Linked DNA regions of Mus musculus. The protein of the gene in region 7 interacts with the protein of the main gene of each other region in a pairwise test. Links are inferred from orthologs where the notes say so. Each region holds a gene or a part of one and is shown on either strand. Other genes may lie near its edges. The genes, in order: Cdx4, Lzts2, Bend5, Pias2, Crx, Maged1 and Prkab2.

Region 1 (4,034 bases), on a different chromosome or scaffold from region 7:
CAAAAAAACTGTATTCAGTGAATGAGTATAGCAGTCAAGCTGGTTACAGGTGTCATCTTTGAGAATCCTGCTTTATAATGCAGATGCAGTCAGGGCTTCTCTCTCTTTTTTTTTTTAATTTATTTATTATATGTAAGTACACTGTAGCTATCTTCAGACACTCCAGAAGAGGCATCAGATTTCTTTACGGATGGTTGTGAGCCACCATGTGGTTGCTGGGATTTGAACTCAGGACCTTCGGAAGAGCAGTCGGCGCTCTTAACCACTGAGCTATCTCGCCGGCCCCGGGGCTCCTCTTTTTAAATGGGTGACTGTGTCTGGGATATAGGTGGTGGAGTGCTTACCTAGTTCATACTTTTGGAAGGAAATTGCAAGTCTGCTGTAGCTGCCATGGATTTCAAACTCCATGAGTTCCTGTCCTTTAGGGCACTGACTTTGAAGAAGACAGACGGAAACTAATACATTACTATGAAGTTCAGAGTATGCACTACCCACTTGCGCTCTCTCCCCTTTTCATGGCTCCTTCTTCTTCTTCTTCTTCTTCTTCTTCTTCTTCTTCTTCTTCTTCTTCTTCTTCTTCTTCTTCTTCATCTCCTCCTTCTCCTTCTTTAATGTGTGCATATTTGTTAGCATCTAATTAGGTAACCTTCCATCCAACTGGAATCTAACTTTAGGAAGCTAGAAGTATATGTCAGTGCTGTTTCCCAGTGCCTACAACAATTCCTGACCCACTATGGATACTGAATATACATTTGTGAAACAAATATCTATCTGTCCAGAGAAACAAAGCCCTCTCCTTGTGTGTGAGAGAAGGGAAAATCCTTGCCAGTGGCATGATGGGCCAGTAACAGCTGGAAAGTCCATACAGGAGAGTATGGGCAGAGGGGAAAACCTGGAGAGCAAGCTGGGCTCTGGAAGATCAGGGAAAGGCAGGCCTCAGTGAAAGGAAGCAAGACTTTGCGCTTCTCAGTCTCATTTTGAAGAAGCCAATGAGAAATTTCTTGAGGAACAACTGCCTCCAAAAGCGCAAAAGTGGTGCTACGAAACCAGAAGAGTCCCTGAAGTGGCGCTGATGGGCTAGGAGCTAGGGGGAGAAGGTGTTTGGAGTGAACAAGAAGACGTTAAGTGGCCCTTCATTTGAATGCAAATGCTATGTAAAAGCTTGAAGCCCCTTGACGTCAGCCCAGCCTTTGGTAACCCTCCTATGGCTCACTACCAGTCACCTGGAAATTTAGGGTAGGAAAGGAAGGATGGAGTAGTCCGAGCCGCGCAGAGGAGCTAGCAGCGCTACTAGTGCTGACCGTTGATAGTCTCTTGCGTCTCAAACTCGGGTTGGCGCTAAGTTTACAGGGACCTCAGGATGGCTTAAGGGGCAACTTCTTCTATCCAAGTCACCATGTATGGAAGCTGCCTTTTAGAAAAAGAAGCGGGCATGTACCCAGGCACTCTCAGGAGCCCTGGAGGAAGCAGTACAGCCGGAGTGGGCACCTCTGGGGGCAGTGGTAGTCCTCTGCCTGCCTCCAACTTTACTGCAGCCCCAGTTTACCCACACTACGTGGGTTACCCTCATATGTCCAACATGGATCCTCACGGGCCTTCGCTGGGAGCCTGGAGCTCACCCTACAGTCCGCCCCGGGAAGACTGGAGTACATACCCTGGGCCGCCCAGTACAATGGGCACAGTGCCCATGAATGACATGACCTCCCCAGTTTTCGGATCCCCAGACTACAGCACTCTGGGCCCCACCAGCGGTGCAAGCAACGGCGGTAGCTTGCCAGACGCGGCCAGCGAGTCACTGGTTTCTCTTGACTCCGGCACCTCAGGCGCCACTTCTCCCAGCAGGAGCCGTCACAGCCCCTACGCATGGATGCGCAAAACTGTGCAGGTGACGGGTGAGTAATCCATCGTTCCGCTGTTTCTTCTCTTCTCTACCCTTGGTCCGCTACCCTCTTACTCTTCACTCTACGTCCCCGTAGGAGAGTTCAACTAAGCAGCCCACAGCGTAGCTGGCTGATGGGATCAGTAGTTCCCTCCTTTGCGCCTAGGTTCAAAGCCGGTTAAAAGTAGCGCTTGGAACTAAACCTCTCCTGGGGGTTGTTGAGGTGGGTTTGTTTGTTTGTTTGTTTGTTTAGGTGGTTGGTTGGTTGGGTTTTGGTTTGGTTTGGCTTTACCCTTTCCAGATAAGTCAAGGGAGTAAGGGTATGGACAGTGTTCCTGATGAACCACAAGGATCGGGATCCAATCCTGTCGTTGTCCGGAGGGAAAAAACCAGAAGCACATCATGATGAACAGGGTGAAGGACAGCTAAGGTTGTCATGGTGCTTGCCGGTTTTATCTCCAAATCTTTCCCTACCGCGGTATGCAGCCTCGCTGAAAACTTGTGATGCTCAACTTAGTAGGTGCTTAGCTGGCAACCGACGGCCGAGCCTAAGAAGGCTTCCAAGGCAAAAAACGGCCCTCGATACAAGATGCCTAAGGAAGCTACATCTTCCGTCGCCCAAATTAGAAATGTCTTGAAGCCTATTCCAATGTCCCTACCAACCGAAGGAAGCGTTAAGGTGAACAAGGTTACAGAACTGAGCTGTCATTTCATAGGACACAATCCTTACATCCGCCAGGCACACAACCCAACTGTTCCAAGTATTATTATCTCCCCCCCCCCACCCCCGCCACTAAGTGCCTAAAGCTCTCATAGCTATTTCAGCAGGTGGCCACAAATGCAGAAGCAGAATGCAAGTCTGCGACAGCGTCAAAACACTAAAAGGTGTAAGGACCCCAGTTTAAGGTCTAATGTCGCTGACCAATAAGCCCTGGCGGGCAACTGGGAGCAGCTAGCTGGTGGGGAGGGAGGCGCGAGCTTAGAGGAAATGAAGACTCCACTGTAATTCTTAGACTGGGAGCCAGTGACATGTTTGTTTACAGCTGTGGTTGTTCTCTTAACATTTTCTTATTATTCCAATACTTGTTCCCTGTCATTAGAGGACATTAGTGACATTTGTCTATCACATTCACCCCTCTGGGGAGGCAATGATATTTCAATAGTATTTGTCCATGTGTTTTCCCTTCTCGCTCTTCCAAAAAGCAAAGGTGAAAGGATAGGGAGGTAACATTTTTTTACCTTTAGGAGAATTTTCAGCCAGAAGGAGGAAGCTCCAGTTTTATAACTAGGGTAGAGATCCCAAGTTAAAAGTAACACTTAAGAACTTATATTAAGAAGAAAATATGGATAAGTCATGTAACTTTAAAAAATAATAATAAGGCTAGGGTAGGGCATTCATCCCCAGAACTGTTGTTACATCTAATCTTCAGGGTAAAAATAACATCCATTCACTAAAACCTAAGAATAAGCAAAATACATATTTTAAAAAGGACATAAAAATACCTACTGTCTAGGATTGTCCTTTGAAATACTGTAGGGGGAAATGTCACTAGCACATTTTTTAGAATGGAAAACAATGTGAGGAAAATGACACAATAAGAAAATTCAGTTGTGACGATTTGTCTTTGTGTTGCTGAGGGGAAACATGACAGTTTTCTCTGTTTTGCTTTAAGTCTTCCATATATATCTCAGAGCCTTCTTTGGGTAATTCTGATGCCAAGAGAAGTTGAGAAGGGATCCCCCCATCTACTCTGTGTTACTTCCTCTCTTCCATGTTTAGTAGAAGCTCAAAACTGAGAATGAGGTTATAGCTCCTTGGACTCTTGGCAACTTGTCCTATAGGCAAAGTTTTGTTAACATCAACATTTGTTTCATTTGAATTCCTTGTAAGTTAATACCATCCTTTTGCATATTCTTATAGTTCAGGTTGTTATTCATCAACAGTTTAAGATGAGAGCACCCCACACATATAAGTGATACTTTTCATAAGTTCTGGAAATTCTAGACTCACTGAATATCTTTCATGATATTGGGCCTTAAACTCCACAAAAATCAATGTCATCACCCCATTGAACACTCCAAACCAAAGTATACCCCTTTATATTAGCAAGGGAGCAGATGTTAAAGGTCTGTTAAGTGAACGGACAAGTCAGAG
Region 2 (4,282 bases), on a different chromosome or scaffold from region 7:
GCGCTGTCCAGCCTCCCACCACTGGGCCTCAGTTTCTCCCAGACACTCAGGCGGCTTCGAGGGTGGAGCTGGCCAAACAGGAAACCTTACAGGTCTTAGGAATCCACAGGTGCCCTCTGGGGTCTCTCCTACCTCCCAGAGGTTGATGCAGGCTGTGCTTGTTTCCATGTCACTCTTAGCTTCTGCCATCACTCGGGACTAAGGGAGCCTACCCAGGCCCTGTCCCACTGCCAACCTTTATAAACCTTCCTGCTTTAGTTGATCTTCAGAATAACCCCTATGGAATTTGAGCAGGAGCCCATTACCACGTCTAGTAGGAGCTCAAGTAAGATGGCTGGCTCCGCCTCCCCTAGTCTTACTCCTTCCTGGAAAGAACAGCAAGCCTGCACCCAGAACGGAACTCCCGCCCAGTCCCAAGGCTGCCGATGACCAAGACTTAGGCATCTGCTGAAGTCATCACAGAGCAAAGGGGCCAAAAAGTGGACTGAGGATCCATGAGAAAGAAGAATGTGTGTGTGTGTGTATGTGTGTGTGTGTGTATGTGTGTGTGTGTGTACATTTACTTGTGGGTGTGAGTACATAGACAGGGTCATAAAAAAATGAACAGTATCTGTGAGAATATGCATGAAACTGTGCAGTCCATGTGGGTTTAGACAGATGTCAGTACGTTCATACATGTGTGTATATGTGTGTGTGTGATGTAGGGGACATGACAAAACCAAACAGGGTTGTGCTATGTACCATAGGTGGGCCTCAAACTCAGATCCTCCTGCCTCAGAGAGCTGGGATTCTAACCTTGTGCAAATATGCCGAGCTGTATGTGTGGTTTTTTTTGTTTTTGGTTTTGGTTTTGGTTTTTCGAGACAGGTTCTCTCTGTATAGCCCTGGCTATCCTGGAACTCACTCTGTAGACCAGGCTGGCCCTGAAATCAGAAATCGGCCTGCTTCTGCCTCTGCTTCTAAAGTGCTGGGATTAAAGGTGTGCGCCACCACTGCCCACTGTGAATTCTTTTTTGCTGTTTTGTTTGTTTTTTGTTTGTTTGTTTTTCCAAGACAGGGTTTCTCTGTGTAGCCCTGGCTGCCCTGGAACTTGCTCTGTAGAGCAGGCTGGCCTTGAATTCAGAGATCCACCTCTTACTGCCTTCTGAGGGCTGGAATTAAAGGCGTGTGTGTTACCACCACCAGGCTGTATGTGTGAATTCTTATGTTTTACAAAGTTATGAGTTTCGTAACTTAGAAAGCACACCACACAGTTATTAATGTGTATAAAACAAATGAATCTGTGGGCTCTGGATGTCACTATATGGCAAAAAGAGAAATGTTTGGATAGATATACCAGTTTGTGCACACATATGTGAGGTTTGTGTAAATACCACTAAATCTTCCAGTCACCTATCCTCAGTAAGCCATTCTGCTTCTTCTCCTAGCATGAAATTCTAGGGAAAATCCTCCTTTCTTTGGGTCCATTGAGTCAAGTCTCTCATAGACTGAGACACACAAATCTCTACAGGACGCCTGCAGTTCTCCTGGGACAGTTACATGGATTCCTACTGTACACAAGAAAAGTGTGTGAAAGCTCCCCAGGACCAATCTGTATAAGTGAGCGTTCTGGGAGTGCATGAGGACCTGGGTGACATTCAAAGCCACCAATGTGAATGGGGACTCCTCCTCCCTAAAACTTTTTTTTAACTTAAGAGTTTGAGGAAAGGTGAGATCACAGTGCCTGACGCCCTTGCCCCATCTTATCTTTGTATATTGTTCTCCACTAAGTGCCTCTAAGTGTTAAGACCAGAGACTCACAGGAGTCCAGCGTGAGGAAGGAGTTGCTAAGAGCTAGGGTAGGAACTGAAGTGTAGCAACTTCTCTGTAGGGTAGGTACTGAGATCGCCCCCAAAAGGTCCAGCCTAGGGATGGAGACTGCTCCACAGTATAGTGAGGAGTGAGAAGGGGCTGGCACTCCTGTCCCTACTCCAGAGGACACAGAAAGTGAGACCCAGAAGGAAGGGCAAGGGCCGGGGTAGACACTCAGAGAGACAGGAGCCAGAAGACAGAAGAGACAAAGGCCAAGAGGCTCAGACACGAGGAGCCAGAGGCAGACCCATGAGTTAGGGTCGCTGAAGCTACACAGGCAAGGACCCCTAAAGCCAGAGGAGCCACAGAGCTGAGCTCTGAGGGCCAGGCGTCAGGAAAGCCAGGCCTAGCCAGCCTGGCTCCCGCTTTTGAGGCCCAAGAGAGAAGGAGGGGCAAGCGGCTCCATTTTGAGAAATGCGTTTGTAGCTGTGGGAAAAAGAAAGCCCTGGTTCTCCCCAGCACTCCCTGACCTATCACTATGGTACACAGACCCCTGCGCCCCCACCCCAGCAAGTAAGCTGGGGGTTCTAGAGTCTGGGGCCGCGCCAGGGCCTGAGATGAGTCTGGCCCACGTCCCAACTCTCTGACCTCAGGGCTGGGGTTGGAGAGTTGGGGAAAGTCCCCCCAAACACACACACTCAAACTCCAGAGACCAGTCAAGCAGGATCCAGTCTGGGATCACGAGTTGCCATTCCGAGACTGAAAGCCCAGAGTCGTCGTGTCCCCCCACCCCCCCCCCCGCCACCCACAATAGTCCGCTCCTTCCATAAACTGGGGGCGTCTATGGAATGCCACCTCCCCACCGGACCGCATCGCTTAGAAGTTGGGGCACCCTCAGCCCTGGACCCCTCACCTCCGCCGCGCTGCTCCATGCTCAGCCCCGGGCCGCCCCAGCACTCCACAGGCGCGCCGCCCGCTCCAGCCCGCGCGCGGCCACTCGGAGCTGCCCGGCTCGGCCCCGCCTCCGCCCAGCCGGCGCCCCCGGCCCTGACCGGCCCCCGCCCGGCCCGAGTGGGCGGTGCGCACTGATGGGGGGAGGGGTCCGAGGGGCGTTCCCGCCCCGGGGAGCGGACACGCGCAAGTAACCCACGTCACGCGTGCCAGCCAGGGCGCACGCGGGGGCTGCTCGGCGGCGCTCGGGATTCCTCCCAGAGTGGCCTAGCAACTGTGTGTGTGTGTGTGTGTTGTGTGTGTGTGTGTGTGTGTGTGTGTGTGTGTGTGTGTGTGTGTGTGTGTGTGTGTGTGTGTGTTAAGTGTGGTGTGTGTGTGTGCTCGGTAGCGCTCGGGATTCCTCCCAGAGTGGCCTAGCGACTCTGTGTGTGTGTGTGTGTGTGTGTGTGTGTGTGTGTGTGTGTGTGTGTGTTAGGAGGCTCGGCCGGCTCGAGACTCATCGAGCCGGGTCACCATCGCCTATCCCTGCCGGAGCCCAAGGGCCAGCGGCAGCTGGTCATTGTTCCAGCACAAAGAGCCAAGGCGCGGCGCCAGCCCCGCCCCTCCCCCTCCGCTCCTCTAGGAGAAGCTTCCCTCCTCAGTCTCCAGCTTCCCGGTCCATGGGGAGGCCGAGGGGGTCAGCCATCCCTCTCCAGTTGCCGGCTCCTGGGCACAAGTTGAGGGACTGGCTCGGTCGCTGTCTGTCCCACCCCCAGCAGGCTGGAGGTCACACGCTTGGATTTTCCAAATCGGCGCCACCTGGTGGCCCTTTCCAGCAACTTACCAGCCCCCCCCCCCCAAGACCCCCACCAATCCCACTCCCTTTCCAGCACAGCACCCTCGGGCCGCGAGCCCAGGCTTGTCCCTGGCATGGCTCCAGCCTCCCTAGCCGAACCTCGGGGGTCATTTGCTATGAGAAGGGTCGCTGCTCAAAGGGGGTGGGAGGGATACCTGACCCCCAATAATCTCAAGAACGAACAGCTCAAACCTACACTGGCTCCGCAGCAGACATCCCAAAGTCTCTCTTGGGGTCACAAATATTTTTACCCTCTCGAAAACAACAGTCTTAACACCCACACGACCTTTCCCACATTCAGTCTCGGGCAGCCACAGTCAGTCTCATCCATCACGTGGCTCCATAGATCTTCATTCCATAATCCTTCAGGCCAACTCACAGAAGGCTTGGTGTTTCGTGCACGGGAGAGTGCACAACAGTCCTTTGCATCCAGTCACATTCTTTAAATACACTCAGCCTCCCAACCCTCTTCCACGCAATGACAGCCGGATTCAGCCACTCTGGAAACTTCTTACATCATATTCACAAACTACCCACTTTCCCTGAGGGGTCTCTGTGACCTGCTCAGGTCAGCCGACCTCACATGTTCTGGCAAGGCCATCCTCCCTTCCCCGATCCCCCCCGCCCCCCCCCCCAAGGTCTGCCAGAGCTGGGCTCAGCCCCAGGAAGAAGCACCCCCCCCCCTTCCAGGCCACAGCCTGGCCG
Region 3 (4,253 bases), on a different chromosome or scaffold from region 7:
AGCACAACTCTGCTCCCATGGATTACCAGATCTTAAGAGCCCATGGGTTCCAGTTTTGAGTCCGTAAGTCCACAAGAAGGCTGACTGTAGTTAGACAACAGACAGGTCTTTGCAGAGGTCAGGTGAGTTTTCAAGTGAAGTCACTTCAAGCAAGCCTCAAAGCCACCAAGCTCAACACACACGGGAGAGAGTCCTTCCAGGATAGACGAATTTCTGGATTTACACTGGCCCTTCCAATCAGGTCTACACCAAGAACAACAGTTCCAATTTATAAATTTACCAGCTTACTGGAAAAAAATGGAATCCAGCCAACCTCAAGTTGCCAAAGTCTCTACACCTTCCTGCCACACACTCAATCTTTCTGAGTTCAAGACTAGCCTGATCTATGGAGTTTTAGGGCAGCCAAGTCTACACAGAGAAACCCTGTCTTGAAAAGACAAAAAACAAAACTGGAGATGAGAAGAAGCACTCCTTTTGTTGAAACTGAAACTGCTACCACTCATCTCTACATCTACTCTGCTAAGTTTCTAGAAGCTGCCTAGGTTTCCTATGTATGTACCTACGTACGTATGTATGTATTTTAATAACTCATTGCAACTTGTATTGATTTTACAAGAAGAGTCAGTGCAGGCTGCCATCTGTCTAGCTAGGCTCCCTGTACTTCTTGAAGAGTACCATGTGCCTACACTCCCTGAAGGAATGGAGAAATGGATGCCTGAGTGGATAGACAGGGAGACCGACAATCTCTAAAAGAGTCTTTAGCCACTGCCTCCTGACACCCATCCTATCTACTCTCTGGATCTCCGTGAGTCTGGATCATCAAGAAACACCCTCGATTTTCTTGTAGCAAACAGTTAACATTCCATCTAGTTAACATTTCCTCAGGCTTATCCTCTTGCTGAATAAGTTCCTAATCCCTTCCTAGATAATTAAAGGAAAGCACGCTAACAAAATAAAACCTAATCAGCCACAAAGACTTCCGTTCTAAACCTATCCCCCCTCGCTCATTCTTTTCTCTTGGACCAGAGTGTCTGGTGGTAAGTGGACTTACAGCCCTGTGCCTCCAGGACCTGTCTAGGAGGTGATAAGTACTTAACCTTTCAAAAAGAGGACCATGTGGTGTTGATCTATTCCAAATCTTTTGGCCCTTTATTCTAGTAAGCCTACTTTCTAGAGGTATTTATTAAAAAGGAATCAGTCACCAGGCTGAGATACACTGACAGCTTGTCCAGGGATCTTGGACAAGTCACTTTGATTCATGCTAGGTTCATTTTTAGGCTAAAGGAGAGGAAACATAGGTCCCTGGAAAAAGTAGGAAAAGTGTCAAAACCATGAAATCTTTGCAATGTCTTCATTCAGCTCCTAATCTCCGGGTTGTCTTCCAGGTGGAAGGTGACAGTCTCTGCCTACTCAATCAAAGGCAGCACTCTTACCAGCAGCAGCTACATCTCTGCTCTCCAGCCTTGAAGTGGTAACTTCCTTTTCCCCACTTGGTGTGCACCCAAGCCTTCTACAAGTGGATCAGAAAGAAGGCCAAATGTTTCTGCTTGAAGAGGAACCTATGTCTCAGCGTGATACAGCATAGTACAGGAGGCCGAAAGGCTTGTCCTGTTAACAAACTGAATCTATCTTTACCCATTAACCAAGAGACCACCTGCCTGCCTGTCAGCCTGTCTCCTTTCCCTCTTCCCCACCCCCAGGTGTGATCAGAGTTAGGAGGTCAGGCCCTCACCTGAACTAGAAACTGTTTGTACCATCTTTCTCTCAAGGAGCCTTCTGGGAGATGCATAAAGTGGGGTGGAGATGAGGCTACCTAAGGCCCTTCACCTCCTCACCTGTGCCCCTTGGGCAGTACACTGAGGTTTGGTCTCCTTGTCCTAATGATGGCCCAGATGGAACAGTGTCAGAGATTCCTTCTGTGAAAAAGGGCCCCCATCAAAAGGACCTAACACTGCTTCTTGCTCCAAGGAGACGCCAAGGGCCTTAAAGGGAGAGAGGGAGGTACAGTTTTCGAAACTTAAGATGGAAAGCAACACAGAGGGAAGTAACTGAGAGAGGTGAAGGTGAGAGATGGGAGAGATGACAGCTAGAGTAGGCAGCTAGAGAAGCAGAAAATGAAGAGCCAAGGGGAATACAAAAGAGTCAGAAAGAAGAGAGCAGAGTAGAGAAAGCTGACTGACAGCAAGGCGCAGGAGTGTCAGAGAAGCAAGGAAGACAAAGGGGACCCTCAGGTCTTTTTAACTGGTTTGGCCTCTTAGAGACACCTGGTACCCAAAAGAAAGCCCAAGGAGTCGGAACGGGAGGCAAGAGCAAGCGGTGGCTCCCTGGCCCCAGCCGCCCGGCCTCTCCCGGAACCAGCCCCAGGTCCGCCCGGTCCCAACGCCCCTCCCGGCCCGCTCGCTCACCTGCCAGCGCCAGGATCTGGGCCTTGTGGAGCAACAGCGCGCCCCAGTCCCGAGGGGCACGCGGGGGACTCTCGGGCTCGGCGCCCAGCTCCTCCGGGCCCCGGTACACCGCGTACACCTTCTGGTTGTCAAAATCCAGTCGCGAGCGGGGACTGAAGTCGCGCACGCACGACACGGGCAGCGCGTAGCAGACGTTGTCCTCCAGGAACCGCACAAAGGCGTACATGGTGGGCGCCGGGGGCGGGCCCGGGCGCCGGTCAGCCCGTGGGGCGGTGCGGAGGTGGGGACCCCTAGAGGGGCGTGAGCCGCAGCCGGGCCGGGGGCGGGGAGGCTCCCCGGGGCCCCGGCTCCCCCCACTGTTATTGTTCCTGAAAGCCCCGCTCTGCCAATCGGCTGCTCTCGCCTGGGCGCGGAAAAGGGAGGGGAGTGGAGAGAGCCGGGCGAGGGGCGGATGAGGGGGTTTTGAAGCACACCGCCACTTGCGAAGTCAGACCCGAGCAATCACAGCCGGAGTGCGATTGCAGTAAGGTGGGGAAAGAGCATATATGATAGTAGCGTTAGAGGATAGGAGGAGCGCTGCTAAAAGTCGCTTTCGGGCGGATTCAATAGTTTAGTGTTTCGAATTTAGCTAAGCGCCTCCGTTCCTTCAGTCCACCCTCCAAACCCATTTCCCCCTTTTCTCTTTCTTTTGCAAAATTGCCAGCACCTGCTGTGAGGGTCAGTGAGCCAGAAACATTCCCCTAGAGCTGCCAAACCAGTTTTTGGCCAGAACTAGAGTAATCTGAGGTTTCCAGTTGAACCAGCTGCTGGGATACCAGAGGGTTAGACCAGGGCTGTTTTTATCCTAAGGGAGCAGCGGCACCCCTCTTCCCTGTGGTCTTTCTCCATTGAGGAATCGCCTCCACTACTTGTTGATTCTGGGCTGGAACAGTTGGAATGAAACAAGGATGGAGGGCTCTAGGGAGCCAGAGCAGAGGCCGGACTTTCTGGAGTCAGTTGAGTTCAGGAGCCAAACTGGGCAGAACAGCAGTCCCTTCTCTGTTTCCAAAATCACAGATGAGAACCTGGAAAGGTTGGTTCCTGCAGACAAACCACACCTTCCAGAGAAAGAAGGCTGAGAGTTGTACTTGTTCTGTATTGTATGCTTACAGGGAAACTGAGCTATTTATATTCCAATTGTCTAGCTCAATACCAGGGTATTTGTCAGAGAGAGATTGGTGAATTTTGGGGGAAGGATAAACAGAATTTCACATACATCCATTCTTCCACTTATTCTTTTATTCAAGTAACTAATATTTTTCTGAGCACACACTCCATGTTATATTGTAGGCTTGGTGGTCTATAGAAAGAATAGATACCTAGGACCTTGTAGTATTTACTAAAGTATTAGAACTTGAATCTCAGTTGGATCCTATGTCAATATTAAATTACTGTCTGAATAACCCATTTTTTCTGCTACTTGTAATCTTTCATTCTAGTCTGAGAGCATTAAGAAAGCTTAATAATGAGGTTATAGTGAGAAAAGTATTCTCATAAAGGCATGCATAAAGGAGGTGGTAGATTTAACGAAATGCTATGTTTTTAAAAACTCATTTAAATAAATTTAACCTGTAACAAAACAAGTGCACTGAAATGTTTATTATGATTCTGAGTTTCTTGCATAGGTGAGAGATTTTGTTTTCTCTTGTACTCTTTATGCTCATATTCCACATACACACATTCTTGTTGCTAGTCCTCACAATAATAATAAAAGGCATTTAACCATTTTAAACTTTAGGCACTGTGCTCACATTCCAAATCAGCTATACTCATGATAGAGATAAAGCCAAACTCCCAAATTCACTTCAT
Region 4 (4,160 bases), on a different chromosome or scaffold from region 7:
AGCCTGAGCATTGGAGACCTCAAAGCCCACCCCAACAATGACACACTTCTTCCAACAAAGTCACACCTGTTCCAACAAGGCCACACATTCTAACAGTGCCATTCCCTATAGGCCAAGCATTCAAACACTTGAATCTATGGGTCATACCTATTCAAACCACACTTATAAAATGACATCTCCCTCCCCCCACCCCCACCACACCAAGCCTAAAAAGTGAAAGAACATGATTACTAAAATGAGGGGATGATCTTCATCCAAAATGGACAGTACCAGCCACATGCTGACTAATGCTACACTGATCCTCAACAGCTTAAACTACAGTACCCCAATCAGTCTACCATTTCTTCCACTGCCAAGATAACCAGAAAGCTAATGTCCATAAAATTTTTTTTATTTTATAATGTAATTAACTATCACTATGATCATCTGAATATAGTCTGTGCCAGAAACCATCATTCTGAGTGTCCTGGATATTTCTTCCCCTTCTCTTTCTTTCAGATTATAGTTTTTGGGTTTTGTTGTTTCGGTTTGGTTTGCTTGCTTGTTTGTTTTTTTGGGGGGTTGGGTTTTTTAGAGGGGCTCTGTTTTTCTTCCACTTTTATGATACAAAAGGATGGTATTTATCATTTAATTTATCCCATAAATAGAAAAATTAGGAATCCCACCTAGTTCCGAGGACACCTGAACAATGAAATCAAACATGAACTCAAGATTCTAAAATCAGATAACTAGTGTTTAAAATTTTAGCATTTCTCCTCTCAAAGGATAATATAGGTGAAAGTTTATGTGTGTTTGTTGTCTTCATAGAATTAGGAGAATACAATGTATATGTCAAGTATGTGAAGCGAGTCTGGCATGTATTCGGTGATATTAAAATGAGTATGTACCACCATCACTTTCTGCACTGTGGACTGAGATAAAGTTTTTAAAATACAAGCTAACATGGGTCTGCCCTAAGCAAAACAGAGTTTAATTCTGCTGAACTCCGCCTTCCTACCTTTCCTCTGGAAACTCGGGTTAAGTCTCTGCTGGTCACTTACTATATGACTGGGGAAACCAACAATACTATCTTTTACCAAGCACAAGGAGAGGCCAAACCAAGTTGATTTAGAGATGAGAAAATGAAGCTTGCCACAAAACAAAACAGAGACATCTGAAAGGGACTGCTTCTAAGGTCCTGCCTGGTTCCACTTCAATTTGAGTACTGATGTCCTTTCTTCCACCCTTTATGATTAAGGTCAATTCTTCCCTTAAACCAGTGACATTTCTAAAAGTCTAATACACCTAGGAGGTTTTCACCAACCAAAAAAAGCTACATCTCCTTTTGAGAGGAAATATACATCTGTTTAATGTGCAAAAGTTAAGGTAATACTGCAGGTAAAAATTTACTGTAGTGAGTGAGGCTCAGGCTATCTCAGGAGCTCCACTAAACACTTAGGATGGATACGGTTCAATTGCCCTTGTCAGTTATGCTACCTGTATAAACTGATAAGGGATACAACATGTAACCATAAAATCAATCTTTCCTGAAACAGGAGAGAAAATGGTAGGCCCTATGCGAGCTTTCACATTCACTCTTTTGTTGGCTGTCCGGCCTGCCAACATCCTTTTCCCACAAACAATAACAGTCTCACAAAGCAGAACCAGATTAAAGTAACCCAAACACCAAACGTGCCTAAGGTACCCCAACTGGCTGCAAGTTCATTTAACTTCAAATCTATATATACTTCTGTCTCCACTTTAAAACAGACAGACAGACAGACAGACAGACAGACAGACACACACACACACACACACACACACACACGCACGAGTCAGGGTTTCTATCTGTAAACATCCCACATATGTCGTCAGTAACTCGGCCTTCAATGCAGCTCACCATACCTGGCTTAGTTTGGGATAAGGTTTCTGTGAAGATTATCTAATGGAGGAAAAAAATAAATCCTTTTTTCTTATAACCTCCACCAGCCTCTCCGTTAGAGCCCGACTACAAAGGCACCAACGATAAAGTTATGACCTTGTTCTCATGCTAGCAAACAGTTGTTCCTCAAGAGCACCGACTACACACACATGACAACACGGACTCAGAAGCTTTCTTACCATGGTTACAAACCAAGTCTCTGGGTAGGAGGCCGACTACGGAAGGCGGCGTTCCCAAAAGAGCGCGCTTCTCCCCACGCCGAGGGAGACAGCACGGGGTGGGAGGAAGGGGCCTCATCTCGTGACAGACCTGCCTAGACCCCAGCGGGGGACAGGGAGCTCCCTAAACGCAACTCCTTCACGGCTCCGAAGGCGGGCGGTCACGGCGTGCCCCGGGGTCGCCACCGCAAAGGCGACCGCCGTTGGCTGTCCCGTGCCCAGCCGAATCGAGCCACCCGCCCCGCCAGGTGTGCGGCCCGCCGGGTGCCAGGGCCATCCGCCTGCCCTCGCCCGCGCGGCGCCGGACCGTACGGCTCCGCCAGCCGGCCGCACGCCCCGGCGACGACCGCGACGGCGACAGCGGCGGCGCCGCGCTGCTCCCGCCTCCCCTCCCCCCGCCCTGCGGCCTCCGCTCAGCCCCCCCCACCCCCCGCCCCCGCGACGCTCACCCTCAACTCCTCGAAATCCGCCATTTTCTCCCGCCCGCAGGCGCCTCAGCCGTCGCCGCTCCTCCACCCGCTGCCGCCAACGACACCGCCGCCGTCTCCTGCAACATCCTGCACTGGGCGCCGCTCTAGACGCCGCGGCCGCCGCCGCCGCCGCCGCCGCCGCCGCGCCGACACCTCCACCACCTCCACCGGGCCCCTCACGTGACCTGCGCGGGAGTCCCGCCCCCCGGCGCGCGCTGGCCCCGCCCCTCGCGGCGCCCCCAACCCAACGCGCGCGGTCTTCCGCCCGAGCGCGCCCCCGACCCACGCGCTTCCGGTTGGTGGCCTGTCCCTACCGAGCGCGGTCCTGCTCGCCGCTTCCTGTCTCCTCCCCTCACCCTGTTCCCCGCACCGGCAGAGCGGGCAGCTCCCGAGGCTCGTACCGGAACTGTGGCCTTCTCCCGGGACTTGGAGGACCGCCTCGGCTGAGGAAGTGACCGAGAGAAGAGAGTGGACAGGACTCACGGAAACACTCGAGAAGATTCTCTCAGTGCCATCCCCAGAGTGGCTGTGATAGGATAAGCCAAGTAAGGGTGATGTGGAAACCGTTGTTCCAAGTTAATGGTGATCGCGGATAAGAATTGTTTTGTGTTTCTGTTGTTGAGACAGGGAGGGCATCACTGTGTAACCCAGGCTTGCTTGGAACTCTTTCGTGGAGCAGTTTCGAACTTGAGATTCACCTGCTCCTTGAGTCTCTCAAGTGCTGAGAGTAAAGGTGTGTGCCACCACACCCAGTTGGCTAAGACCTTTTAATTTGTGTCTTAATTTTTCACCTTGGCTGATATTTTTCCTGACCTTGAAGGGGATGTCAACGGCCTGGACAGCAACGTTGAAAGAATTGTGGGTACGGTGAGGAGAAAAGTGAAGTAAAAGAGAGCACCCCAGAAAACTCTGATGAAAAAAGTCAGGAAATCCTGATAGCTGAAGAAAAATAAAATGAAGAGACGAGAGATAGAAGAAAGATTGCCGATATTCCCAGATTCGATGGAAGAATGAAAAAAGGAGAAATAAAACAGATACTTGGACTTGGGATGTTGAAGCAGGAGGATGAGCGATTGTTATGCAGCCGGGTGGAAGCCAGCCTAGAATAAAGTGTGAGAATGAAAAAAAACACATAATGACAGACATAATGCAGAGTCAAACTGGCTGGTCACACACAGTTCAGATTTCATTGATAAGACTGACGGAATCCGTTTAATATTGTTACTACCTAAGGCTTCTTTCCAGTTACAGTCATTCTGAGAACATTGCACTTGTATGAGTTTTAAAGTGTTGATCTGTGAGCAAAGAATTCCTATTCTATACCTCCGTCAGTTCTCCTTAGCATACAAGGATCTTTCTTCAAACATACTAATTCAAATGCCTTGATAAGGTTAGGCCATAGTCCAGTGGTAAGCTCTGGGCTAGACTCTGTTAGTTCCTGGCCTCCATTCCCAACATAGAAAAACAAACAACAAAAACAAAACTAAGCTCTAGACTGCCTCTCCTTAAACTCTTGCCCAAGAGCTAACTGAAGTACGGTATACATATAAA
Region 5 (4,222 bases), on a different chromosome or scaffold from region 7:
ACAGAGGGGGAGGGAATTACTGAGGGGGAGAGAGAGATGGCAGGAAGATGTGTATGCGTGGAGTAGCAATGGAACCTTCATTTCAGCTCAAGGATTGCAGGAAGCAAGCAGAGGCTCTGAGACCAGGCTGTAGCCTCAGGCTTAGGTGGACAGGCAGAAGGGTCTCAAATCCAGGAAGGGACCCACAGACAGTGGCAGAACGACAAAGGAGGGAGACACAGAGGGAGACAATGAGAGAATGCAAACTTGCCTTACAAAGGGAACTAGGGACAGAGTCAGAGACAAGGTGAAGGGCTGGAGGGATGGCTCTGTGGTTAAGAGCACTGGGGCTCTCCAGGAGGACCAGGGCTCCATTCTCAATACTTAATGGTGGCTTATAACCTGTAATTCCCGGTCCAGGGCATCTGATGCCCTCTTCTGGTCTCTTCAGGCATCAGGCACTCACTGTGTGTGAACACGTGGGTGCAGGCACAATATCCATGTATGTATAATCAATAAACAAATCTAAACAAGAGAGACACAGAGAGAAAGAGTCAGACATACAGAGACACTCAGAGATAAAAAGACAGAGAGAAAGAGAGACAGGGAGGAAAAGAGCCAGAACCAGAGCTGCAGAGAGACAGCCAGAGACAGAGAGATAGCGGGAGACAGAGAGTAGAGGTAGAGTCCGACACAGATGGAGACTAACAGAGAGACAGAGAGACAGTGGGAGACAGAGAGTCTAACAGAGACACAGGCAGAGATTGACAGAGACATAGAAACTCAGGGAGAGGCATAGAGACAAAGACACAAAGAAACTCAGAGAGGCAGGGTCTGAAATAGTGATGAAGATAGAGAAGCAGAGACTAGAGGCAATGGAGAAGATACAGAGCAATGGGGAGACAGAGATATAGAGAGCCCTGAGGAAGTGAGGGAAGAAGGGAGAAAGACAGAGAGGCACAGAGAAAGAGAGAGAAACTGAGGCAGAAAAAGGGAGAACCATCAAGAACTACACATTTGAATTAGTTCACTCAGTGGGGTCACAGATCTCTCTTCCCAGTTATTCTAGCTGTGTCAGAAGACTTAAAAGTTCAATACTAGCCTGGGCCACAAAGAACAACCCAGGAAGTCCTGTGCCTTTCTTTTCTGTCTCCCAGGAGCACTGTACACTTCTTTCTGTGCTTTTGAAGACATTTCTTTTCAGATAGTAGCTGAAGCTGGAGGAATACCCTTTAGACCCAAGGAAAGACTTCCCTGAGAAGTGGGGGCTCCTGGTTGCAGGCAGGAGTTGGGCTTTCCCTCCCTTCTTCATCAACCCTAATTGCCAAGATGTCACTGTGGGGGTGGTGGGATTAAGCAGACGGTGCCCTTCCCCCAGCCAATGTCACCTCCTGTTGCCCAGTGAGTCCCCCACCTTCCCTGGGATTACCCTTCCAGATCCAGGCCACAATAGATGACATCACTCCCAGCCCAGGCTTAAAGTCGCCCCGTGTGAGGGGACCTATTTCCTCTAGCCTCTGCTGTCTGATGACACCATCCAGTACCTGAACATCCAGGAGAGTCCCCATTTCTCCTTTCCAAAGGTGAGTCTTTCCAGGAGAGGCTGCGAGAATATTTTATTCTCACCCATGTTTGACATGAAGATGGGTCTTGTGATGCTTTCTGAACAGATTAACATAGGGTAGAGATTCCAGCAGGTGTTCAGGGAAACAGGTCACTTAGGACCATGATAGGAGGGAGTAAAGTCATACCAGTTGGGGACTAGTTGTTGGGATCCAGGAGTGGCTTTAGGATGAATGGATTTTATACTCTGAGGACATTCAGAGGTGGAATGTCTCATCTAAGCACACATCCATGGTGTGTGAGCATGTTCATGTGTTTGTGTGTATGTATGTCTACAATGTGTGTGTGTGTCCATGTGAGAGAGCAACCTCGGAGGACAGAGATAGACATACTGGTTGTCTTCCTAAATACTTCCATTTGCTATTTTTTCCTAGACCTCTCTATGTAGACCAGGCTGGCCTTCATCTGATGGATCTTCCTGCCCCTGCCACCCAAGTACTTAAGGTTAAAGGTGTTCACCACCACACCCAGCCTATTTCAGACAAGGTCTTTCACTGAACCTGGATCTCCCTGTGGAGCAGAGGCTGGCTGGACAGTGAGCCCTGTGTATCTGTTTGTCCCTGTTCCCCCAATGCTGGGGTTATAGTGTGCCCAGCTTTTATCTGGGTGCTGGGGTTCTGAACTCAGATCCTCACGTATGCACAGACAGTGCTTTATCTGTTGAGTCTTCTCCCCATTCCCCCGAAAGAAACCTTTTACATTTAATTTATGTTTTTTGAGAGGGAGTCTTTTGGAGCATAGAGTGGTCTTGAACTTGTTCCGTAACAGAGGCTGGTCTTGAACTCCTGATCCCGTGTACTACTGCTCCCGCTTGTTTTTTTTTTTAACTCTTTGTGATTTTTCTTCTCTGTTTGTAAGGTATATATTCATTATATAAGTATACATGCATATATATTTAGTGTGTGTGTGTCTTCTGACTCCTTTGTTGAAGTCAGATGACAACTTGCTGGAGTCTGAGTCAGTTCTCTGCTTCCACCATGTTTGATTCTTAGGAATCAAACTCAGGGTTTTAGGCTTGGTGGCAAGTGTCTTTATGGTTGATCCCTCCTGTGGCCCCTGAGATTTCCTCTTCGTTTGTGTATATACCAATACATAGATCATCTCTCCCTGGAGAACGCTGGTTCTTTTCACTGCCTGGCACTTGGGTGCTATTTGACTGTTGACAGGATGGATCCCTGTCCTATTAGATTGTTTATTAGTTAAAACACGGGCTGGGGCTGTAGCTCAGTCAAAAGATAAGCGCTAACATGTTCTACACAGCTATTTGCTCACATACAAATGGGAAAAAAATTACACTTAACATTTTTCTCTTTTTTCAAAACTATTTATATTTTTATTCACTTTACATTTGGATCACAGCTCCTCTCCCTCCTGTCTTCCTCCTCACATATCCCTTCTCTCTTTTCTCCTCCCCCTTCTCCCTCAAGAAGGGGAGACTCCCTTGGATACCACCCCACTCTGGGACATTTCAGCAGTTCTAGGAACATCCTGACCCACTGAGCCTCATCCAGGGAGTCCAAACAGTGGGGAAGGGGATCCAATGGCAGGGAACAGAAACCGAGACAGCCCCTGTTCCACTTGATAGAAGAACCACACGAACACCAAGTTGCACATTTGCTACAGATGTGTGGGTCTAGGTCCAGCTCCTGCATTGAGCTGAACATTTTGAGGCCAATGTGGCTGCTAATTTCTGTTCAATGCCAGCTCAACATAGTAAACTGGAATTCTTTCTCTGAGGTCGAGAGCAGGGCTGATGGCTAATGTTTCTAAGGACGCAAGTTACAGACGTTGAGTTTTGAAGGAAAACACCAATATTACTGACATTTTTTTGTTTATTTTTTCCTCAATGGCTGAGGCAACTCTTGTAGTGTCTGTGGTCCAAAAAATTACAGAGACATGTAGCAGGACATAGTGGTATATGCCTTTAAATTCTAGCATTCGGAAGGTAGAGGCAGGCAGATCACTGTTGGTTTGAGGCCAGCCTGGCCTACAGAGTAATTTCTAGGCTAGCCAGGACTTCATAAACTTTATATCAAAGGGAAACCTTGTCTTTATAAAAATGTGGGAGTTGGCTGGCTCAGTGGTTAAGAGTACTGGCTGCTCTTCAGGGAGACCTGGATTCCCATTCCAAGCACCCACAGGGGGGCTCACAGCTGTTTGTAATTATGGTTCCAGGGCACCCAATACTGCTTTCTGGCTTCTTCTGATGGTACCAGGTGTGTTTGTGTTCATAGAAATACATGCAGACAAAACACTCATATACAAAAACACCAACACAAAGAGAGTAACAAAAAAAAAATCCCAGAAACAGCAAAGTTTGATATTACTGTTGCATCTGTCTGTCTATCTATCTATCTATCTATCTATCTATCTATCTATCTATCTATCTATCTATCTTTTAAAAAGATTTATTTATTTAATTTACTTTTATGGGTACACTGTAGCCGAACAGATGGGATTGAATTTTTAGGATCTCTGCTCCCCAGTTAACCCTGCTCTCTCTGGTCCAAAGATTTATTTATTATTATACATAACTACACTGTAGCTGTCTTCAGACATGTCAGAAGAAGGCATCAGATCTCATTACAGGTGGATGTGAGCCACCATGTGGTTGCTGGAA
Region 6 (4,246 bases), on a different chromosome or scaffold from region 7:
TTCGCATCTGTATGCCATCTTTCTGCGTTTGTTTCCCCAGCTGTCCTGGAAGCACAGCTGGCTGTGTGTCCTTGGGCACGACCCTCTTTGCGGGATTCCTGTTTTGGATAGTAGTGAGTAAACCAGGCTCAGAGAAGTCCACTAAAGTGTAGTGACTATATCTCAGGGGACTCACACAGCGAGGGACAGATAGGGCAGACACTCCTCCCGGAATTCTAAAGCCAAGGCCAGCTTCATTCTGCAAGAACAAGGCAGACACACCTGAATGCTCTGGCCGCTCCAGCAGTCACCAAGAAAGCCTGCGGTCTCGCTCCTGGAGACTGCCTACTAAGAGGAGCACAGAACGAACCTAAAGGGTCCCCACACATGCCAGGCCTCCTAGAACACAAGCCTTATTCCCATGGAACAAATATTGGGGAGAGGACAGCTTGTTATTCCAATAGAGGTTGAAGGAGTGCCCCTGTTCTCAGACTAGATTTTACACTCAGGAAAATCCAGGCCCCTCATGGATGGTTTTGTTTGTCTTTTAGATCAAGTCTCAGAGTTGCACAGCTGGCCTGGAACTCAGGGCTTTCCCTGAGTCCCCAGAGTGCTGGGATTACCAGCCTGCGCAGCGGTGCTGGGGCAGGTTCTGGCCTTTCTGTGTGGTACCAGCTCAATGCCCCGGGCTTCTGCATTAGCTACCTGGTGTGTTAAATGAGAATGTTGCACTCCATCCATCTCCCTAAAACAGCCTGCAAGAAAAACAAGCCCCAGGGCAGACCCCACAGCCCAACGCCTTTCCCTCACCTCTCTAACCCAGCCCTCAAAAAGGGTTTCGATGGGCAAAAACTGCCAAAAGGGCGAGAGAAAAAGCTCATTTTCTGAGTCCAGTGAGAGGAAACCTATAGATCCCCCCCCCCCCCGGGCGACCCTTGCTCCGGTATCTCTGCAATGGTTTTTTTTTTTTTTCTGGCCTTTAAGGTTTCTGCGTCGTAGAGTGGGTGAACTCAGCAGAGGCCTAGCATGTTTCGAAATAAGAGACCCCCGCGGGGGGCCTACCTACGGGGCTCTGCACACGGGGGTGGGCGGGAGCTGCGGACCTGGCTAGAGAGAGTTCGGGAAAAAGGGCGGGACTGAGCATAGACGCATTGCGGAGAAAGGTAGGGGGCTGGTGTGTCGGGCCAGGGGGTGGGACCGAAAGGCGCTGCGCATCTGTTGAAGGAGTGGATGCGTAAGGAGAAGGGGAGGAGGAACCTTTGTCCACTGTCAACCTGGTTGGCGGTGGGATAGTGTGCTGGCAAGGAGGCGGGCTCTCCTCCAAGTGCACATGCGCAACAATGGCTCTGGGATGAAGCTTTTGTTGGGAAAGCAAGCGGGACTCTTATTTGGACAGTGATCTGCTGCGCATGCGCGGCGCGTCCAGAGGCGGTGGGTGGTATATTAGGCGGAGAGGCGGGGTCGCCCGAGCTGCCGCGCTGGCATTTTCTCCTGGACGCGGAGAGAGTGCGGGTGCCGAGAGCCGGACAGAGCCATTCCCGATCCTCTTGAGTCGCGAAGAAGGAAACAGCGAAGGGATTGGGGTTCGGCCCTGAGGCAAGGTGAGGTTCGCCCCCAGACGGGGCATCTGCCCCCCTGGCGCGGCGTCCTTCCGCCATTCTTTTCTCCCAGTCCCTTCACCCTGGATTCGGAAGCCCCCTGCTCTGCCTGCTCCCGGATTCAGACCCTGCTCCCGACCCTTTTCTAATTTGAAACTCCGTCCGTCCCCCTGAATCTTTTCTCCAGTTCCCTCCCCGAATCCTATTTCCCGACCTTGATCCCGTTAGATGGTTCCTCTGAATTCAGAACCTTAATTCAACTTTTCGGACGCCCGTGTCTCCCCGCTCGCCGCCCTCCCTCCCCGCCCCCGTAAACTACCGCATCCACAGCTCCTCTCTGACTCCAAAACGGCAGCGCTGAAGCTTTTCCCTGGCCGCGTCTGAGATTGGAGATGGTCTAGCGGGACGACCGGTTACTTTTCCCGCTCCGCTTAGGCCTGGTTCTCCCCCCGGACTCGGCACCTCACCCGCCCCCAGAATCAAAGCACACACGCACACAGAATTCGGTCCTATGTCTTTTCCTTCTGTAGTGTAATGCCCAGCTCCTCTCTCCCACACCCCCCCCCTTAGGCTCTGCTCTTGCCAGGGAGACGAGAGCTATGGCTCAGAAACCGGACGGCGGTGCAGGCCTCCGCGGCTTCCAGGTGAGGACCCCGCTCCCAATTCCCCCATTTTTCCCCTGCTGACAGTTTACGCCCACCCCCGGCCCCTTAGGTCGCGCGAATGGCAGGATCTGATTTTGCCCTTCTTCCGGCCTAGACACCGCGGGCTCTCAGATTTCTAGCGTTTATCGAATGGGGGGGAGGGGCGGCCCTTTTCAGCCATCGGTCCCTGCTTAGAGAAAGGGGAGACCCTGTTAGTCAGGGCATTCTGCCCAGAGAATGCGGGTTGGGTAAGGAACCATTTTTTTTCCATAACCCTGACGCGTGTAGAGCAGTCTGTCGCCCCATCCCCCAACCTCTCGCCTCCACCCTCCCTTTCTCCACGCCGCGAGACTCCCCCTCCACCCTCTCGGCTTATCCTCCTTGATTCCTCCCTCCTCGGGTCTTGAGCTCCCCACCTCAAGCCTAACCAGTCCGTCTCTAAACCCATTTGGGGCTCAGAGCTTGCACCACATTCCGCACCAGCCCCTGCTGCCACAGACTGTCCCTCACCTTGCCCTGCCCCCTCTACCCTTAATTAAATTTTGTTCGCGCCCCGCCTCCCTTTGACCCGCCTCTGCCCCCACGTCTGAGTACTGTGACGCCTGTCTACAGCTCCCCTGCTGCGTTGCGCCGCGCCCCCCCCCTCCTCTGGTCTGCCATGTAAGGCTCAGAGATTGAAATGTTGCCCCTCCTGTGTTTGCAGGCTGAGGCCTCTGTTGAAGACAGCGCCTTGCTTGTGCAGACCTTGATGGAAGCCATCCAGATCTCCGAGGCTCCGCCCACCAGCCAGGCCACAGCAGCTGCCAGTGGGCCAAATGCTAGTCCCCAGAGTTCACAGCCCCCAACTGCCAATGAGAAGGCTGATACTGAGGTTTCAGCAGCTGCTGCCAGGCCTAAGACAGGCTTTAAGGCCCAGAATGCCACCACAAAGGGGCCAAATGATTACTCTCAGGCACGTAATGCCAAGGAGATGCCCAAGAATCAGTCTAAGGCGGCCTTTAAGTCACAGAATGGCACCCCTAAAGGTCCACATGCTGCCTCTGACTTTTCCCAGGCAGCACCCACAGGCAAATCAGCTAAAAAGTCTGAAATGGCCTTTAAGGGTCAGAATAGCACTAAGGCTGGCCCCGGTACCACCTACAATTTCCCTCAGTCTCCCAGTGCCAATGAGATGACCAACAACCAGCCTAAGACAGCTAAGGCTTGGAATGACACTACTAAGGTCCCTGGAGCTGATGCCCAGACCCAGAATGTAAATCAGGCCAAAATGGCTGACGTAGGGACCAGCGCAGGTATCTCTGAAGCTGATGGTGCAGCAGCCCAGACATCAGCAGATGGCTCCCAGACTCAGAACGTGGAGTCCCGGACTATAATTCGGGGCAAGAGGACCCGCAAGGTGAGATCCCAGCTAGCTTCCCTTTGCTTTGGGCTCTCTCCTTTCTTCCAATTTCCTTGGCTCCAAACACAATAAAGGGCATGGATTTATCTGTATTTTGGCACAGTTGTAGGGGGTGCTAAGGTAACTATTATTCCTGAGCCCAGGTTGTCCACAGGCTGATGATGAGTTGATACAAGGACACAGGCAATATGTGTGTAGGCCATCTTACATTTTGACATTAAACACCATGTCTTAAGCTAGGCAGGCTCACACAGAATCAATTAGATCTTGAAGATGTACCTCACTCTCTAGAGAGAACAGAGTCAGGAAGAAACGAGTTCAGGGTGAAACCAAGCACTGTCCGTAGTCACACAGGAAAAGGAGAAATCTAGGTCCCACTTTCTGTTTGTTTGTTTGTTTTTTCCTTTGTCTGGTTTGGAGATGAAACGCCTGTCTGAAAGACAAAGAGAATCAAAGTGACCAGTGGCTAGTGAGGTGTAGGTGAAGATTCCTAGGTACTTCCTAAGATAGCAACTGGGAGGACCCAGGATTAATAGTGACCCTGAAATTTTCTTCTCTCTAATTATACAGGTTAATAACTTGAATGTGGAAGAGAACAACAGTGGGGATCAAAGGCGTGCCTCACT
Region 7 (4,059 bases):
GGAGCTCTGGCCATTCTATGGACACCCTATACACAAAGAAAGAGAAACGGAGAAATTCTACTTACCATTTCCCCCTATCTATCTATTAGGGAGGCTAAGAAATGCATCTCTGTGGAGACAGACAACATCCTAAGGTTAGAGTCAGTGCTTCAGTAAAGAGGAAGGAAATCAATGTTAAGGTAGACCTCCAACTCTCTTTGCTACCTCACTGTTCCTTTTGAGTAATTACTTTCATTGTTTAAAATGTTAATCTATGTTTGAGTGTTTTGCCTACATGTTTGTATGTGCACCTGAAGGTGTTGTAGCGCCTGGAACAGATGATTATGAGCCACCTTGTAGGTGCTGGGACCAAACCCGGGTCCTCTAAAAGAACAGTAAGGGCTCTTAACCACTGAACCATCTCATCAGGGTTTATGACTTCTAATGGCTTTATGGTCGGCCTCATCTCACCGATCTACACACTTGTCTAAGATTCTGCCAGTGCTAATGACTGCAAGACCACTGAAACCTCAGTGGCAGACACGCTACTCTCACAGGACACCTCTCACTGTCTCAGCTCACTCAGTCTCTCCTGTGTCCAGAGTTCTTTGACCCCACTGGGCCCTCCATCAGCCTATTTTATCTTCACTTCCAGCCGACTGGTTTCAAAACGCTAGTCCAATAGTATATTCCCAGCCTACCTGTGCTCTCACTCATTAGCTGTTTGCATTAATCCACACAGCTAATCACAGTAACAGAAAACACCGCTTTGATGAGTTTGGGCATCACATAGAAGTAAGTCTTCTGCAGTAACTGCCATCACGTGTCTAGTCAATTCTCTGTCCTACTTTTTATTTCATGCCTCCTGGGACAACTAAAAAGGTTGCTTGGTAGAGGCGTACGCGGAATATGAAAATGTGGATCCACTATGCACCGCTGTCCAGTCGTTTGAGGTGATCCTGTTAAAAGTGCAGATTCTAATTCTGTACCTAGGGCACGGGGAGGCCTCGGATTCGGCTTTTCTAATAACCGCGTGCCCCATGGATAGACAAACTGCTTAGGAAGACAAGACGCCCCACTATCAAGCCCTGGGCGGACAGTTCACAGCCCTAATCCCGACCCGGACCCCACCCTCGGCCCCGCCCCAAGCCGGAGCTGCGCACGCACCCACCACAGAGGCGGTGCTGGTGGCTAGAGAGGCAGGCGACCCAGGCTGAGGAGGGGGCGGGGCTGGAGCGCAGGGGGCGGAACAAGAGGCTCGGTGGGCGGGGCCAGAGGCAGAGGCGGTACCTCGTCGCGGGCCTTGTAGCCATTTTAGGAGGAAACCCGGTTCGCTGGTTTGGGGCGCGGCTTCAATTTCAATAACTTTATTGGTCTCCTTGTACGCCGAACAGCCGGCGTGCGTGTAGCCACGCGAGCCCGGAGCGCATCGCCCGAGGTGAGCGGCGTGGGGGGTGTGCGGGACCGGGGCTGTGGGGCAGCGAGGGCTCCCGGAGCCGGTTCTCCGAGCCGAGGCGTCCGTGAAGCGGGTAAGGGAGGGGACCCCGGGCGCGGTCCCCTGCGGCGGGGATTCCCTTCCCGGGCGCAGGGGCGGGGCCGGGGCGCCCCTGACGCAGCCGCGGGGGTGTTCCCCGCCTGGTGTCATTCCCCGCGGCAGGTTGCCCCCGACTCGAGCTGCAGCCATGGGAAACACTACCAGCGAGCGGGTGTCCGGGGAGCGCCACGGAGCCAAAGCTGCTCGAGCTGAGGGCGGCGGCCATGGCCCGGGAAAGGAGCACAAGATCATGGTGGGGAGCACGGACGACCCCAGCGTCTTCAGCCTGCCCGACTCCAAGGTGAGGTAGCGGGGCTGCCGGCAGCTCCGCCCTTCTTGGTTCTTCCTCCTCATTCTCAAGGGTTATGGGCTTTTTAACTAGAAGGCTATTCCGCGGATAGAGATGCTGGGTGCTAATTCCTCCTAGATACTACCTCAAATTAGGATAGGGGCGCGGAGTTGTTTTCCTGCTGCTCAGAGTAATCTGTGGGCCAACCTTTTAGGACGAGTACCAAAAACCCATCCCCTGCCAGCCCCATCCTTGGATCTACGTGCAGGTTGCCCTCTTCCAGAGCTTGCAGGATGTATAGGTTGTGAGCGCGGGTGGAAACTTCGGAGGGTGCGTTGTCTGAGCTATTGAAAAGGGCTCAGTTTCTCACATTGGCCTCAAGATAGCTAGATGACTTCTCCCTGAAAATGTCTCTGTGTAGGTCTCCTTCTTGCTCTCTCTTACGTGTTCTGCATCACCTCTTCGATCCTCGTCCACCTTTGTATGGCTCTGAGCTGCCATCAGTTGATTACTTGAATACTTTCCCCTAGTCTTGGGGATCCATATAGGACATCATTTGGTTAATGGCTCAGATCTTTTTTTGAAACGTGCCGTTTTAAAATGTAGCTGTGAGCTTTGCACAGGAGAGCAAGTCACTTTACTTCACTCCTCAGAAGTACTTCAAAACGTTGCCCGGGGCTCAAAACCACCCTCTACTGACCTGAAGCCTTAGCTCTCAATTCCATAGACTTGGAGCCAGAGGCCACTTTTGGTCACTCAAAAGAAGAGCCAGATGGAGCTGACAGCAGTGTGATTGCTACCCTAATGTTCCTAATCACTTAGAAATGTCAGCATTAAATACATGTAATTTCTCCCGGTAGACTTTCTGGAGTGAAAAAGAAAACCCGGCCCTTGGGGATGGGGTGGGGTGGTGGACATTTATCACTTCCCAGTGAACTGAGGCTTAGGATAACAGAGTTTTATTTGCCACTTTGATGGCACATGAAATTTGAATTACACACCTTATTTTCTCCGATCGAGATTGAGAACGCCGTTAGAAAAGTGCGTCATTGAACCGGCCATTTCTTGGGGTTCCCTCTTCCCTGTTTCCTCTCCTCTAGGATTCCTCCTCATTTGGGCCCTGGACTCAGCCTAGATTTCCTTCTCCAAAGCTTATCTAGGATGACAGGCAGGCCGTGTATTTTTGCTCATTCCTACATTGATGACTCAGGATTTGGGTACAGTCAAACTGTGACTGCAGTAATTGGTGTCCTGAATAAGAGCCAGGCTGCTCTGTGTGGATTTAGGCCTGTTCTAGAACATTCTTTCCCTCATATCTTGCCCTTTGTGAAATGAAAAAAGTAGTTCAAACAATTACCCATGTCTTATCAGATTGAAAACTTTATAGTTCATGCCCTCCCCTCCACACACACACACACACTGAATTTCCTTAAACATTTGCAGGCTGTACTTTGAATGCTGCTTTGCTGCTGTTCGTGGTGATTTCGCTGATGGTTTAACTGGAGCAAACAGTTTTTCTGCAAGTCAGCAGCAGTCATTCCTACCACAGAAATGTCATGTCATAAGTGGAAGGGCTTTGCTCCAAAGCCAGGCATATTAATAGTTTAGAGCTTTCAAATCCTAAACTGAAAATCCTTAAGTCATAAACGTAATTGATAGGAACGGTGGGGCTGGGGGCATCTTTGCTTCAAAGGTCAGGGTTATCAATAGTCTTAGTCAGTGCTTCTCAGCCCTGTTTGTATGACAGGATCCCCCAAGAATGCTTTAAAAACCTTACGAGAAATCTGACACACTTATAAAATGAACTGTGTAATGAACTGTGTGTATGTCACCCTGTTTATACGGTGCTGGAAGGTCATGAAAGACTTCCTCTGGGATCCAAGCCTCTCCTCTACCAGCCACTCTGAAACAGATTTCAAACAGGTCAACAAATAGTATTTCTAACATTTTAGGACATTCCTCAAAGGTGACCGTTTAAAGCTGATATGATAGCGGCTCACACCTGTGATTTCAGCTGTTTCAGAGGCAGAGGCAGGAAAAACCTTGCCAGGCTGGACTGGAGTGAAAATTTGACCCCTAGAGAACGATAAAATATGTTTTTCCTTGTTTATTGTAATGTGATAAGAGTGTTGTTATCTGAAGGCTTTAAAAATATATATTCCCAAAATCCTATGAGGACTCAGAGACTCTGAGGGTTGTTTTGAGCCATATGTAAGCACTCCCAGTGCAACTGTCAGCCCCAGGGCATTGCTTTGAG

What was found.
Region 1: the proteins of Prkab2 (region 7) and Cdx4 interact in binary tests that used the Homo sapiens proteins (3 or more experiments, as listed by UniProt). The link is inferred for Mus musculus from reciprocal best matches to the Homo sapiens genes PRKAB2 and CDX4.
Region 2: the proteins of Prkab2 (region 7) and Lzts2 interact in binary tests that used the Homo sapiens proteins (3 or more experiments, as listed by UniProt). The link is inferred for Mus musculus from reciprocal best matches to the Homo sapiens genes PRKAB2 and LZTS2.
Region 3: the proteins of Prkab2 (region 7) and Bend5 interact in binary tests that used the Homo sapiens proteins (3 or more experiments, as listed by UniProt). The link is inferred for Mus musculus from reciprocal best matches to the Homo sapiens genes PRKAB2 and BEND5.
Region 4: the proteins of Prkab2 (region 7) and Pias2 interact in binary tests that used the Homo sapiens proteins (3 or more experiments, as listed by UniProt). The link is inferred for Mus musculus from reciprocal best matches to the Homo sapiens genes PRKAB2 and PIAS2.
Region 5: the proteins of Prkab2 (region 7) and Crx interact in binary tests that used the Homo sapiens proteins (3 or more experiments, as listed by UniProt). The link is inferred for Mus musculus from reciprocal best matches to the Homo sapiens genes PRKAB2 and CRX.
Region 6: the proteins of Prkab2 (region 7) and Maged1 interact in binary tests that used the Homo sapiens proteins (3 or more experiments, as listed by UniProt). The link is inferred for Mus musculus from reciprocal best matches to the Homo sapiens genes PRKAB2 and MAGED1.

What each region holds. Positions count from the first base shown.
Region 1 is NC_000086.7:103,320,164-103,324,197, forward strand, and holds the start of Cdx4 (homeobox protein CDX-4), read left to right. Parts: upstream 1-1,234; 5' UTR 1,235-1,396; coding exon 1,397-1,892; intron 1,893-4,034.
Region 2 is NC_000085.6:45,016,653-45,020,934, reverse strand, and holds the start of Lzts2 (leucine zipper putative tumor suppressor 2), read right to left. Parts: upstream 2,801-4,282; 5' UTR 2,705-2,800; intron 1-2,704. UniProt on the Homo sapiens protein: Negative regulator of katanin-mediated microtubule severing and release from the centrosome. Required for central spindle formation and the completion of cytokinesis.
Region 3 is NC_000070.6:111,413,553-111,417,805, reverse strand, and holds the start of Bend5 (BEN domain-containing protein 5), read right to left. Parts: upstream 2,801-4,253; 5' UTR 2,632-2,800; coding exon 2,406-2,631; intron 1-2,405. UniProt on the Homo sapiens protein: Acts as a transcriptional repressor.
Region 4 is NC_000084.6:77,063,848-77,068,007, reverse strand, and holds the start of Pias2 (E3 SUMO-protein ligase PIAS2), read right to left. Parts: upstream 2,801-4,160; 5' UTR 2,613-2,800; coding exon 2,589-2,612; intron 2,536-2,588; exon of another isoform or gene 2,104-2,535; coding exon of another isoform or gene 2,101-2,103; intron 1-2,100. UniProt on the Homo sapiens protein: Functions as an E3-type small ubiquitin-like modifier (SUMO) ligase, stabilizing the interaction between UBE2I and the substrate, and as a SUMO-tethering factor.
Region 5 is NC_000073.6:15,877,156-15,881,377, reverse strand, and holds the start of Crx (cone-rod homeobox protein), read left to right. Parts: upstream 1-1,422; 5' UTR 1,423-1,562; intron 1,563-4,222. UniProt on the Homo sapiens protein: Transcription factor that binds and transactivates the sequence 5'-TAATC[CA]-3' which is found upstream of several photoreceptor-specific genes, including the opsin genes.
Region 6 is NC_000086.7:94,539,226-94,543,471, reverse strand, and holds the start of Maged1 (melanoma-associated antigen D1), read left to right. Parts: upstream 1-1,446; 5' UTR 1,447-1,580; intron 1,581-2,147; 5' UTR 2,148-2,176; coding exon 2,177-2,221; intron 2,222-2,924; coding exon 2,925-3,617; intron 3,618-4,190; coding exon 4,191-4,246. UniProt on the Homo sapiens protein: Involved in the apoptotic response after nerve growth factor (NGF) binding in neuronal cells. Inhibits cell cycle progression, and facilitates NGFR-mediated apoptosis. May act as a regulator of the function of DLX family members.
Region 7 is NC_000069.6:97,656,953-97,661,011, forward strand, and holds the start of Prkab2 (5'-AMP-activated protein kinase subunit beta-2), read left to right. Parts: upstream 1-1,259; 5' UTR 1,260-1,417; exon of another isoform or gene 1,418-1,636; 5' UTR 1,637-1,661; coding exon 1,662-1,814; intron 1,815-4,059. UniProt on the Homo sapiens protein: Non-catalytic subunit of AMP-activated protein kinase (AMPK), an energy sensor protein kinase that plays a key role in regulating cellular energy metabolism.